2 linked regions of the Neurospora crassa OR74A genome follow. Each later gene encodes a partner of the first gene's protein in a complex. Links are inferred from orthologs where the notes say so. Each region holds a gene or a part of one and is shown on either strand. Other genes may lie near its edges.

Region 1 (6,189 bases):
TCCAGACATGTCGATTCTGTCTTTCCATCTTCCTAGGTCTCGAACCCCAGCCAGCCACATAGAGAGGGGATCGGAGGTAATCTAAGTAAATAGCTAGTACTCAAGCTAGGAATCACTTGGGGTGCTTGCCTGGCCGTCGCTTAGTTACTTGGGGCATTGGACCATGTTAGGTCCCCGTTGTGTATTGTGTGTGTGTCTCGAAATGTGAAATGTTTTATTTTGTCTGCTTTTTATTTTTTATTCTTTTTGTTCCTATCCGGCTGTTTTCCTTTGGGTTTCCCCCCTATCCGCACTTGAGCCAGGAGAACCCAGATATTTCTACCTAGCCTTTTGTTGCCTTTTTCGTACTACGTACAGTAATCCGACAATATCAAAGTTCCAGTGACCGCATAATGGCGTAATGCGTCATCGCGGCCATCATCTTTTGGGTTTCCGATATAAAGAGTTGTGTTCCCGGTCTCATCCCTCGAATTCCTCCTCTCCTTCGTACCATCGCAAAGCGCCGCGCTCGAAGCAAAATCCCTAATTCGTCTTCCCTATACTATCATGCACGCTCTCAGCGCCCTTTGATGTTCCTCTTTATCAGAGGCAGTGGTCATTATTGATCGTCGTGGCGTATCGGGATCCTACTCGAGCCTGTACCATTCCCCAATGTCGTCGTCAGCAAACTTTTGTTCGTTCACGAATGATGTCCGTCTTGCCAGCGACTGGTGTCACTCGGTAGTAGCGGCGGCCGTCACCACACACCACCAGATAACCGCAACACACGTCCACCTCCAATATACTCTCCGTACCCTCCTTCTTCTTCTCTTCCTTCTTCTGATTCTTCGAGGAAAAGAAATGTCGACTAACCGTTCAATCAAATGCAACCCACTAGCCGTGTCCACGATGCCGCTGATCTCGCCAGGCTTCAACGCAAAAGCGGCATCCTCAAACTCCTTTTGCATGTCGCCGCGTCCAAAGTAGCCGAGGTCACCCCGCTTCCGAGCAGAGGAGCAGTCGGACTCGGTCAGGGCCAGCTCGCCGAGGGAAATGGAGCCGGACTTGATGCGCTGTTCGAATCCTTGCAGGGTAGTGAGGGCTTCTTGCTTGGTGCGGGTAATCTCGGACTGTCATTGGTGGTTAGCGACGGTCAGAAAGAGAGAAAGAAAAACAAAACGAGCGCAGCGAGCAGCCCTCCGAAGGAGCCTCCCCGGAGGGGCCGCCGGAGGCAACAACAAACACCAGGCACTCCGGACGCAACTTGAAATGGACAACGGGAAGGGGACTCACCTCGCGCCAAGAACTGGGCCTCCTGCTCTGGTTGTGCTTGACCAGCAAATGCGCACACCTGATCTTTCCCTGTGGTTGTTGCTGCTGTTGTTGTTGCTGCTGTTGACTCGTGGGCGAGTGGTACTTGGCCATGTAGATCTTGAGCTTGTCGACGTCGGTGCCCGAGGGTGGCTCCCAGCGAGAGGTCTTGGTGGCGCTGTTGAAGTAGTAGGGCAGGTTCTTGGATTGCGAGTGGCGGACTTCCCAGTCTTCGGGGAGACCGGTCTCGATGGTCTGGGAAGGGGGGAAGGGGGGGGGTCAGCTCTGTTGTTCTGGATGTTGCGAGTGGTGGGTTGACTTGCGTTGGACATTATGACGGTTTTGGTGGTGGTTGTAGTGGTGATTGGTTCGTAGGTCGGTTCTGTGAGAGCACGATGCGGTTCGCGGTCAGTAAGTAGCTTAGTCCTCGAGTACTGTAGGCGGATAGCCTTGTGGCGGTCGCGATGTCAACGGGGAGAAGGAGGTTCAGGCGCAATTGCGACTCGCGTGATCAACCAGCGAGGGGCATGGTGACGTACCTTGAGTTGCGCCGGTAGAGCTTCGACAATGAGAATTAGAAAGCGACTACAAAAAGGAGAGATGGAAAACAGAAGGAGAAATTGACAAAGGGAGAATTGAACTTTTTAGATCACCTGGCAACGGCGGGGGGGGAAGGAGGAACAGGCAGAGAAACATCCAGCACCACTCCGGCCAAGACTCTCCCGGTTCTAGGCAATGGAGCTCTCCGTCGTCAGGGACGTCAGCTTGTCGGCGGCTCCACACCTCACAAGGCACAAAAAGCGGGGACTTTCTCTGGGGGAGCGGGGTCGGGCAAGGGGACAGGTACATAGGTACCATAGTACCGCCCGTTGTGTTTTCCGCGATTGGGGATTCGTTCGCGGGGACGGAGCTGTCAGGGGCACCATCTTGTTAGTGGGATGGTGTGGCAAGCCCAGCAGGTTCTTGTCCTTGTCGACATGTCCTCGTGTGGGTGCCACTGCCATCCTCCGAGTTGTTGCTTGGTCAGCTTGAGGCTGCTTGCTTACCTCTAGTATTCTTTATCACCTTGATGGCCTCATTTAGTTCTCTATTTGAGATGAATTAGGTTGAGTTATGGAAGCCACTTGAACTGATACCAGTTGTACTAACAATTCATGCTGGTTTTTTATACTTTGTTTTCATCAAAAAGGTCACACCTCACCAAACATGAAAGACTTGAAGTACCGGCCCGTTGGTTCTCGACAACAGGAACCAAAGCTGCGAACCTGCAGCCCGGTCGTGTGCTGTGTAGCATCGGATGAGCACCATGATCCTCGTCGCCCTCTCATGAGCCATCCACACTTTCTCGATCCGTCGTCAGTTGCTGCTGCATCGGGACACCCCACGCAACAGTTCCTTGGGGCCTCGTGATTCTCCGTGCATAGAGTGGGTGCCACACACGGACTTGCTGTGCCCTTGAATATTGGGGTCACGGGTGGGCGGGAGGAGAGAGAGGATTTGGCACATCGAGATGAATTTTTCAACAAAAGACTATCCATATTACATACGATGATAAATATTTACAAAGGCGTCCATCCCCTCTGAAGCCTCATGACATTTAACAGACAGGTGCTCGTGGTCAACTCCATGACGTCGTTGTGGATTCCAGTAGTGTGTACTCTCTTGTCATTTTGTGTGAGACCTGAAGCCCCTGATGCGCTGTAATGGTGTATCGGTCCCTGTTGACTGCGTCTTGTCCTCGCCCGTTTACTCGAGACAGGACACCAAGAACAAGACACTTTGGGGAGGGAAGCATGCATGGCGCTCCAGTGAATTGAACTTGACAAGTTTGGATCGAGGCGGTTTGATACACTCGGGTCTCCGTCGGCAATAAAAACACAACGAATCATGGCTCATGCGAAACCGGGCATCCAAATCGAGGCTTTGCCAAATAATGGTCTGCAACAAGCAACACTTTTCGGTCTGACTGGCCTGTTACTTGCAGCCTGGAGTCCCGCCTGTCCAGTGTTCTGCCCCTGACCGTGACTTCACCCAAAGCGGCAAGGCGGTGAAGGGGTTTGGCAGTGGCAGCCATCCTTGTCACCCTCCTTGGGCCCCGATTTTCCAAGGTCCCAGGGCTGTTTTGCTCCGGCCGGCAGGGCAATTACAGTTGGCACCTGGACACTTGGATGGATCCCTCCCCGACCGAACGTGACTGCTCACTGCAGCACAGCACTCATTGCAGTCGGTGGGAGGGAGTTGTCGTGCCTCACCCACGCCTTTCTTGGTCATTTCCTCGGCTGGCCTTCCACTTCACCTGCAGTGCCTTTTTTATTTTCCATTTTCCATTTTCCATTTTCCACCTCCGGCTCTTTCCACCATCTTTTAAAATCATCTTGGGACTCTCATTTTCCCACGGACGAACTTCTTCCTCTTTAGCAACACCTAACTCTGAACTGCTGACAAGTATCAGATCCAATTGCTGTTACTAGCTTACTACTACTTAGTATTCAACTTCCACTTGACTACACTACACTAGCAGTTTTTTGCATCCTTCCGCCACCCGACAAGGAAAGCCAACCAAGCCCATCCTTGGGATCGTCAAGCATTCAATTAGCGATCCGTCCATCCATCCATCCATCCATCCATTTCTACCATTCACCCAACAACACCAACCACCATCAACACACACCCACACAAAGGAACGGGCACAACAACCTTTCTGCTTCCTTTCGCCTTCTCTTTCAACTATTATTACACCCACACACACAAATACACACACAAAACACACACAACACATATCAACCAAAATGTCGTCGCCCGCCCCTTCTAGCACCGGTGGCGCCAAGGAGAAGAAGCCCCTTGAGCAGATCACGTTCCGCTTCTGCTCCGAATGCAGCAACATGCTGTACCCCCGCGAGGCCGAGGACGAGAACAAGCTGCTCTTCACCTGCCGCACCTGCAACTTTTCCGAGCCCGCCACGTCGACGTGCATCTACCGCAACATCCTCAACAACGCTGCCGGCGAGACGGCTGGTGTCACGCAGGATGTCGCCTCTGATCCCACGGTGGGTGTTGTCTCTTCTGTTTCTTCTGCTGCTGTTGGTGATGGTGTCGCCTCGCCTGCGTCGACCTTGCCCCGACCCGCCGACGGTTCGACCTACATCTACTGCCAGTGCTGTGGCGTCATCGAGCTGTGTTCGAACCACTTTGCCGCCCCTCCCTCCGACTCCGAAGCCGGCAGCGATTGCGAGTCCCTGTACGACCAGATGGCCGCCACCACGATCGACATGAGCGATAACAGTCATGTCTGGGCTTCCAACAGCAGCGAGAGGGAGGCCATGGGCAGGGTCCGTGCCGAAGAGTACTTTTACAACTTGGTCGCCTTTGAGGACTACGAAGAAGAGGAGGACTCCATCGAGTCTGAAAACATGGAGCTCGACGACACCGACACGGAGTTGGCGGCATCAAGCCAACTGCCTGTTCAAGTCCCGGCAGCTTAGGACATGACCGGCAGACGACGCATCTCCCGCTCTCACGAGGTTACGACTTTTTGATTTTACGGTCACAGCGATTACGGTTACGGCATACCCATTACATCAGGATTATAATACATCTATAATCATGGCGGCGCGGTTGTTCGCCCACCTTCGGGATTACAGCACCCGACACACGACACGACTGGCACACAGCACGGCATAGCATAGCACAGCGCATACCCAAAAGTCTCCGTCCGTCTGGTGGCGGGGTCTGGTCCGCGAGGCGATGACCTGGATTTGGCTTGTTCTTGTCATTTGCTCTGGCTTGCATCGAGACTAATCTCTTCTTTTTCTTCTTTCGTTTGCTATCTAGCTCCCAAGAGCCATCAAGGAATGCCCTGCCTGCCACCACCCGGAAGCTGTCTTCTTCCAGTCACAGCAGCGTACTTCGGAAACCGGAATGGTAAGACTCACTCACCTGCCTGGGAGGGGCTCACCAGAGTCATGGGTTAACAACGTTACTTTCAGAAACTTTTCTACGTCTGCTGCGATTGTGGTAATATTTACCAGTAGTGGGGGATTCACTCTTCACTCGGAAGGAATAGGGCCAGATCGATCCTTGTTATAGGCGGACAGGCGGGCGGTCGGAAAAAATCACAGGTTGATTAATAAAGATCAGGGGGTCATGATGAGTTGCATTACAGTGGCGTTTGTACACGGTTAACTCAAAAGGACCGCGGTTTAGGGCGTTTGGTTTTCTTTTTCATGCTTTGGCAGGACACTGGTTTAGAAATGGTCTTTCCATGAATCTCGTGGATAACGTTATAAACTGTTTCGTGTGATATGCAATGGTGATGTTGTTTTGCTTGACATGACATGTAATGTACAGTAGTATACACAGATTAGGACGGCACGCTTGATGTCCCGAACTGAAGTGACTGGTAAACCTAATCGACTGATGTGACGGCTGCTGCTGGCTGATCGTTACCCAAAATGGCGCTTGAAGAAAGGCCGTTCGATGAGACCATATTTTGGTGTGATGTCCGGTGTGTGAAGCCGTCGTACCTTGAGAACAACGTCGCAGTCTCAAACCCGTATACGCCAGGCCATCCCAAGTCCATCCTGGAAATCCGTAGACACACAAACCACAGTTCCGTCAGATATCAACAAAGTGATGTTCCGTAGCGCTCATCGTCAGTCATTACCTCAACACAGCCAACCCAAGCTGAGCCGACACCCAAACCCCCCACGAGAGTCACCAAGTCACCGCAATGACACATCCCACCGAGCATACTCCTCTTCACTTCAAGGAGCGTCACGCCACATCCCACCCCAACAAACTCAACTCTTTTTCTTTACGGGTATTCATATTTCATTCCATCTTGATTCTCCCGCTACATCCATCGTACATATATCCTCCCTGATCGATCAATCAAGCCTA
Region 2 (6,927 bases), on another chromosome or scaffold:
AATTGTCCAAAAAGCATCCGTATCCGGCTTCATTGCTAGGCGTGAAAGGATTAGTTGAAACTGGACAAGTGGACAGACTTCATTGAACAATAGCCTGTGAGGTCGATGAAGCCTTCGGGGCTTGTCTGCCCGCGGCAAGTGCTATGCCATCCAGCCGTTGAGATCCTAAAATATCCAGGCACCCATAATACCGGGGTATAACTTGAAGAGCGGGACCGCCAAGTTACTAGGTCGAGTGTCGACTAGCTACTGCGGCGGTTGAGGGCTGTGGTATTCGCGGATTAACAGCGGCTCGGCTGAAAACAAGAAGCTGTCAAGCAGGCCATATGGGCTTTTGATATAGGCATGATAACAGGGTATAGGTCGCCAACTGATTTAGTTCCAAATTGGTAAAAAGATGATGGATGAGATGCGAGCCGGCCAGATATGGATTGGATGTCGAGGAACATGAAGGCGTAGGTAGTTGGAAGATGAATGGGTGAGAGGATGAAAAGAGACCAATGTCGAGGTTTCAGTCATTTCACTTTGGGGAAAACAAAATGCCAAGCCTTACCTACCCTTCACCCCACCCATGCCTTGATGGATGGAACCTTTCCGCCCGCTACGCCAGGCGATCAATGGACTTTGGTTTTTTTTTGTTTTTTTTTTTCTCTTGCGGTGTTGCCCCTCTGTGGCCCTCGGACATTCACTCCGTCGCAACCACCTATGACCATCCCTACAGCAGTGACCCCGCCGCTTACGACATCCGTGAAACTTTCTTCCCGAGACTCATTACAACACCATCTCTGCGCAAACTGAAATCTGCAACAACTTTGATTTTATCCGACAGATAACACAGAGATCACCAAACGATCTTCCACGCACCCGTGCACAGCTGTCGCACCATGGCTTCGACTTCGGCATCGTCTGCCGCCAAGGCTGACCAGCCTGTTGCCATCGTCTGCGTTGGCATGGCAGGTAGGTCTACGCATGCTCATGTTCTGTGCTTTTCCCAACCGCAAGCGGAATCATCCAGCTGACCATGTTCCCCAGGATCCGGCAAGACAACCTTTATGCAACAGATCAATGCCCATCTCCACGGAAAGAAGGAGCCTCCTTATGTCATCAACCTCGACCCAGCAGTCACCCACTCGCCCTTCGAGAGCAACATTGACATCCGCGACTCGGTCAACTACAAGGAGGTGATGAAGCAGTACAACCTCGGCCCCAACGGCGGCATTCTCACATCGCTGAACCTCTTTGCCACCAAAGTCGACCAGGTTCTCGGCCTGCTCGAGAAGCGCACGGCGCCCAAGCCCGACGACCCGACGCACACGCCCATCAAGCACATTCTCGTCGACACGCCGGGCCAGATCGAGGTGTTCGTCTGGTCCGCGTCGGGCCAGATTCTCCTTGAGTCGCTCGCCTCATCCTTCCCCACCGTCATCGCCTACATCATCGACACCCCCCGGACGAGCTCGACGTCGACCTTCATGAGCAACATGCTGTACGCCTGCAGTATCCTTTACAAGACCAAGCTGCCCATGATTCTGGTCTTCAACAAGTCGGACGTTAAGGACCCGGCTTTTGCAAAGGAGTGGATGACCGACTATGATGCGTTCCAGGCTGCGCTGCAGGAGGACGAGACCAACAACGCGTTTGGCGGAGCGGAGGGCAGCGGCGATGGCATGGGCTCGGGCAGCGGATACATGGGCTCGCTGTTGAACAGCATGAGTCTGATGTTGGAGGAGTTTTACGCACATCTGAACGTGGTGGGCGTCAGTTCGCTGTACGGGACGGGCATTGACGAGTTCTTTGCCGCGGTTCAGGAGAAGGCAGAGGAGTTCAAGCGCGATTACCAGCCTGAGCTCGAGAGGAGGCGCGAAGAAAGGGAGGAGAACAAGAAGAAGGCGCGGGAGAGGGAACTCAACAAAATGATGAAGGGAATGTCGATGGGCGACGCGGCGGGCGACGTCACAGTGGGTGACGTCAATGATAAAGAGGCCCCCGAGCCGTTGAGCACGGACGAGGAGAGCAGCGACGAGGAATATGGTGACGATCCCAACGACGAGTATGACCGCGAGGGATTGCAGGCGAGGTACGCCGCTGCCATGCAGGGCGAGGATGATTCGGTTTTGGCCGACGCAAGTTTTGCAAAGTACCTCCACAGCCAGAGGTGATGAGATTGGCCATTGGTAAGGAAAGGATTTATGGAGCAGTGTTGGCAAGACAAGTGATCGAGAGGGAAGGAGATTTAGCATACAACCGGCGTTTTCAGAGTGATACCATACCAATATTCTATATGGCAAAAAACATGATCAATAATGAGAAGCATCACAGAACGGATCCATCTGATGGTGATAGGTGATGATGACGATGATGAAAAGCAATGCTTTCTTTGTATAAATTCCCACAAGTCTACCGATATTTCCCAGAACGCCGCCATCATGATATTGTGATGAATATGATATCTCCCTTCTTCTGATCACAACAAGCCGTAGGTTCAAGGCTGGGCCATGCTAAGCCACCGCTAATGGTGCAAAATCACACCAAGATATCGACGGTTCGAGTCTCCTACGGTCCCAGCTCCCCTCGACAAATGTTCCCGTTGCCTCCAAGGCTGACTCGGCTCCCGTCCTTGGGCATCAGGACATCCCGGCCGGTCCAAATACGATGAAAACTTCAGCCCGATACGGCATCGAGGAAGAGCGACCCCTTTCTACACCTCCTTTGTTGGCCCCAAGTCGAACAAAGTCGAATAAGAAACCATTTACCGAGCCTCGAACTGAACCATTCTATTACCCCCAGACCGTCGTTAGCATAAGATTTTTCTCTCCCACCTTCTCAGAATCTTCCACCGGGTAAGCCCAAAGAAAACGTACCTCTTGGTGCGCTCCTTATACAAAACACGCGCACCGCACTTCTGGCAACGGATAGGAGCGCCCTTCTCGAGCGGCACGCGGACCGCGCAGTCGCCGCAAGTGTACCACATGACGCTGCTGCCACCGCTGTTGCCGTCGTTGTTAGAGGCACCGGTGGTGAAGCCCTGGGAGTTGGGGACCTGGTATTGCTCGCGGGAAGACATCTTGGTTGTTTGTGTTGTGTTGAGGGTGGTGTGGTATTTGTGGTTTGGGTTTGTTTGTCGTCGGGTTTGCTCGGATAAATTGGATGACGGTTATGCAACGTGTAAGATTGTCTTTGTGTTGAGGCGACGACAAATCGATGTTATGCGATTTATAGCGATATGCGACGATGATGTCGTTCGGTTGATGATGATGATGATGTTGAATATTTACCGGTGGAGTGGTTTGCGACGGACGAGAGGGACGGAGCGCTACCTATACAGGCGACTGAGTTTCAACTGGACGCGAACAACGAAAGGTAAAAAAAGGCGGGACGCTGAGGCAGAAAGTTCCAGACTTTGACAAAGGGTGACAGAAGCAGGCGGCGTTCGGACTTTGCGAATGCAAGTTACCCCTGTCATATCATGATAAATTCTCCACTCTTCTGTGGGTAGCTGTCAGCGCGGCAGGCAATTCCCCCACGTTTTCGGCGGAGTTTGGAGGCCGAGGTTGTTCGCGGCAGCCCTGGCGCCTCACCACTGCACACCACCGGGTCGATGCCCGCCGGCAAGCGGAGGTAAGACAGGGACGGGGAACGGGCCCGGTGCTTCACTTGTGTTTGGCTTTGGGGTCTTTTCAGATGCCGCCCCGGACCTCTCGTCCCGTACTTCACTGAGCTACTATTTAGTCATCAGCTAGAAATCATCATACAAGAGTCATTAGTGGTGTTTCCTTTTCGGATTTGTCACGGAGCAAGGCGTTCTTCTTGATTATTTGTTTGACATTCTGTCGCATTGGTCCTTGGTTACGGGGCGTACTCAGCAAACAATCATTCTCGGCATCATTACATAGCGAGATCAGCTTCACTCCTAGCCCTTGTCGAGATTTCCCTTGAGTATTTCTTCAGTTCAAGTTTAACTCGGGGCTCTTCGACATATACAATCGTTCAAACACATCACTACGTCATACGCCAGACTGCAGCCATGGCCTCTTCAACCGACAAGAAGCCACCAGCAACACCAGTTCCACGCTCCATCGTCCCCGACGCCAACACTTTCGACCCCAGCCTTCCCGCCTCCAAGACAGGCGCCGGCGCCACTAACACCTCATCCTCATCCTCCTCCGATACCCAACCCAACTGTCCCTTCTGCCACATCTCCTCGACCTTCCCCCCCTACCCCCCTACCACCCCCCCTTCTCCCTTCCCCCCCTCCACCTCCACCTCCCCACAACCACAAACCTTCCTCCTCCTCTCCACCCCCCTCCTGATCGCCTTCCTCGACATCATGCCCCTCTCCCCAGGCCATCTCTTACTCTGCCCCCGTCGGCACGCCGCCAAACTCACCGACGTTCTTCCCGATGAAGCCGCCGAATTGGGGCGTTACCTACGGATCCTCTCGGAAGCAGTGACGCGGGCGACGGGAATCAAAGACTGGAACGTGGTCCAGAACAACGGGTCGGCCGCGGCGCAGGTTGTTGAGCATATGCATTTTCATATCATTCCCAGGCCAGGGCTGAGGGAGGCTGAGAGATTTACGAGTACCATGTTTGGGAGGGGGAAAAGGGAGGATTTGGATGAGGACGAGGGGGAGGAGTTGGCGAGGAGGGTGAGAGGGTTTGTCACGGAGGTGGTTAGGGAGGAGGAGGAGGAGGGGGAGAGGGGGCTAAGGGAGAAAGCGAAGCTGTAGGGAGCGGGGTTGGTCGGAACGGATGTCACAGATGTGTGGTCACGGAGCATAGCCAGTCATTAATCTCGAGCGAGCATTTTCTGGTGTCATTATTCATTATTGTTCATCTATGGGGGGAATATCTTGCCAGCATCCTCTTGGCTGCACGGTGTACGACGCTTAGTCGCTGTCGCCAGCACCGAAGAAGATCTTGACAGGCAACCAGTCATCGCCGCAGACCTTGAAGCTGTTCTCCTTGTGAACCTCATCAATCTGAGCAATCTCCTCATCGGTCAAGCTCCAGCCCTCGAGATCAATGTTGGCCTTGATACGCTCCTCAGTGACGCTCTTAGGCAGCACACTCCAGCCCTTCTGGACACCCCATCTAAGGAGAACCTGCTGCACAGTCTTGCCCTTGGACTCGGCGAGCTTGGTGAGGCTGTTAAGCTTGTAAAGCGGCGAGTCGCTGCTACCGAGGGGCGAATAGGCCGAAGCATGAATGCCCTTCGAGCGCAGATACTCGACAAGGTGGGGGGACGGGTTACCAGGATGAAGTTCGATCTGGTTAACGGCGGGAACAATCTGTAATTATATGTGTGAGGTCCTCATCAATTCACAACAAAACTTGAAGAGGAGGAGGAGCACAATCTTGCTTACCTTGGTGCTCTCGGCGCTCAAAAGCTTCTCCAGGTTCTTGACGCCAAAGTTGCTGACACCAATGTTCTTGACCTTGCCGGTGTCAACCAGCTTCTGCATCTCGCGCCAGGTGTCCACAAAGTCCCAGTCGTTGTACACCTCCTTGGTGTTCCCCTTGACAAGACTGGCGGGCCAGTGCATCAGGTAGAGGTCAACGTAGGGGGTGTCCAGGTTCTTGAGCGACGTATCGATAGCCTCGGCGACATGCTTGTGCCAGTCGTTGTCCAGCTTGGTGGTGAGCCAGATCTTCTCGCGTGGGACGCCGGAGGCCTTGATGCCTTGGCCAACCTCCTTCTCGTTGCCGTAGGCATACGCGGTGTCGATGTGAGTATAGCCGGCACGTAGGGCGGCCTCGACGGCCTTCTCGACCTGACCAGGCTTGGACTGCCAGGTTCCGAGGCCAACGGCGGGGATCTCGTCGCCCGTGTTGAGCTTGTGAGTCTTGCTGCTGTTGACAGTTGTAAGCTCGGGTGAGCTTCTTCTAGGGGTTTCTCCTGGCACTTCATCCCCAAAGTAAAGGTACTTACAGAGGAGCCATGGTGTTTGTTTTACTGAAGAAATATCTGGCGGTGTTTGTGATGTTTGGTATTCTGGGAATTGCGCGTGAGACAGGCAACATGAAAGACAACAGAAAGTTTGAATGATTGAGAATCAACGACGACTGGAAGGGCAGTTCAACATGATTTATAAGGCTTGGAGCCCCATCTCTTAGTCAACCCCCACTTTCTCCTCCCACGAACGGTGGAGAGCCGATTCCTATCCGTTCCAATGTAATCTTCTCCATCATTCTGGTGCCTGTTTGTATTACTGTACGAACTGCCTTTGACGGATTGTGGCTCTCTATCCCACGCTTCTACATATGTGATGACGTTGATGGCAACCATAAGGTACCATAGCCCCGCACCTCCGGGGATAACAAAGAAGAGCAACCTAGCTTTATGCAAGTTCCAAGTTCCTGCAGGTTCCAAGGTCGGAGCGCAAACTGGGGGGCCAAACTCCAAATGGTGGGGGGACGCCGCTCTGTGGAGCGGATTGGGGACAACTGGCGCAGGTCCCGTCATAGCTAAGACGGGAAGGACGGGTAGCCCGGCCCGATGACCGGGGCTGGGAATCGCCCCGGAGTCAAAACGGGGATCGCTATAAGCCGGGGTCTTCCCGCCACTCGACAGTCCACAGACCTAAGACTCTATACTTAGGAGTCTAGATAGCATCAACTGGAACTTTCAATGCTTATCATATCTCATCAGGCCGCTCAAATTCTCTATTAATGATAAAACTCGCTATCATACGAACAACTCCGCGACTGCTCTCCATACGCATAGGCATCATGTATACGTCCATACCATGTAAACGGCCATGGTCGTCTCTCAGCCATCACTTCATCAACAGCACCCCAATATCAAACCCCAGCAACCTAGCCGTCGGTCCCGCTGCTGCGGAAAGTAGCACACAACGCCGCATAGTGATGCGTCAAGTCCAGCACGTTCTGTGGCAGGTTGGTCGCCTGGATGATACTCCTGACC

Evidence for each region. The genes of interacting proteins can lie anywhere in the genome.
Region 2: NCU08553 (region 1) and NCU04508 share a complex: the UniProt entries of both Saccharomyces cerevisiae proteins name them as parts of the RNA polymerase II (Pol II) complex. The link is inferred for Neurospora crassa OR74A from reciprocal best matches to the Saccharomyces cerevisiae genes RPB9 and RPC10.

What each region holds. Positions count from the first base shown.
Region 1 is NC_026503.1:4,946,263-4,952,451, forward strand, and holds NCU08553 (DNA directed RNA polymerase II 15 kDa subunit), read left to right. Parts: upstream 1-3,513; 5' UTR 3,514-4,079; coding exon 4,080-4,337; intron 4,338-5,121; coding exon 5,122-5,211; intron 5,212-5,276; coding exon 5,277-5,321; 3' UTR 5,322-5,683; downstream 5,684-6,189. Other genes in the region: peptidyl-prolyl cis-trans isomerase ssp-1, read right to left, coding at 627-636, 853-1,109, 1,273-1,545, 1,614-1,622. UniProt on the Saccharomyces cerevisiae protein: DNA-dependent RNA polymerase catalyzes the transcription of DNA into RNA using the four ribonucleoside triphosphates as substrates. Component of RNA polymerase II which synthesizes mRNA precursors and many functional non-coding RNAs.
Region 2 is NC_026504.1:3,138,583-3,145,509, reverse strand, and holds NCU04508 (hypothetical protein), read right to left. Parts: upstream 3,396-6,927; 5' UTR 3,065-3,395; coding exon 2,862-3,064; intron 2,775-2,861; coding exon 2,750-2,774; 3' UTR 2,306-2,749; downstream 1-2,305. Other genes in the region: NCU04507 (ATP binding protein), read left to right, coding at 885-957, 1,033-2,159; NCU04509 (HIT domain-containing protein), read left to right, coding at 4,025-4,729; gcy-3 (aldose reductase), read right to left, coding at 4,889-5,290, 5,366-5,852, 5,932-6,023; NCU04511 (bud site selection protein 7), read right to left, coding at 6,819-6,927. UniProt on the Saccharomyces cerevisiae protein: DNA-dependent RNA polymerases catalyze the transcription of DNA into RNA using the four ribonucleoside triphosphates as substrates.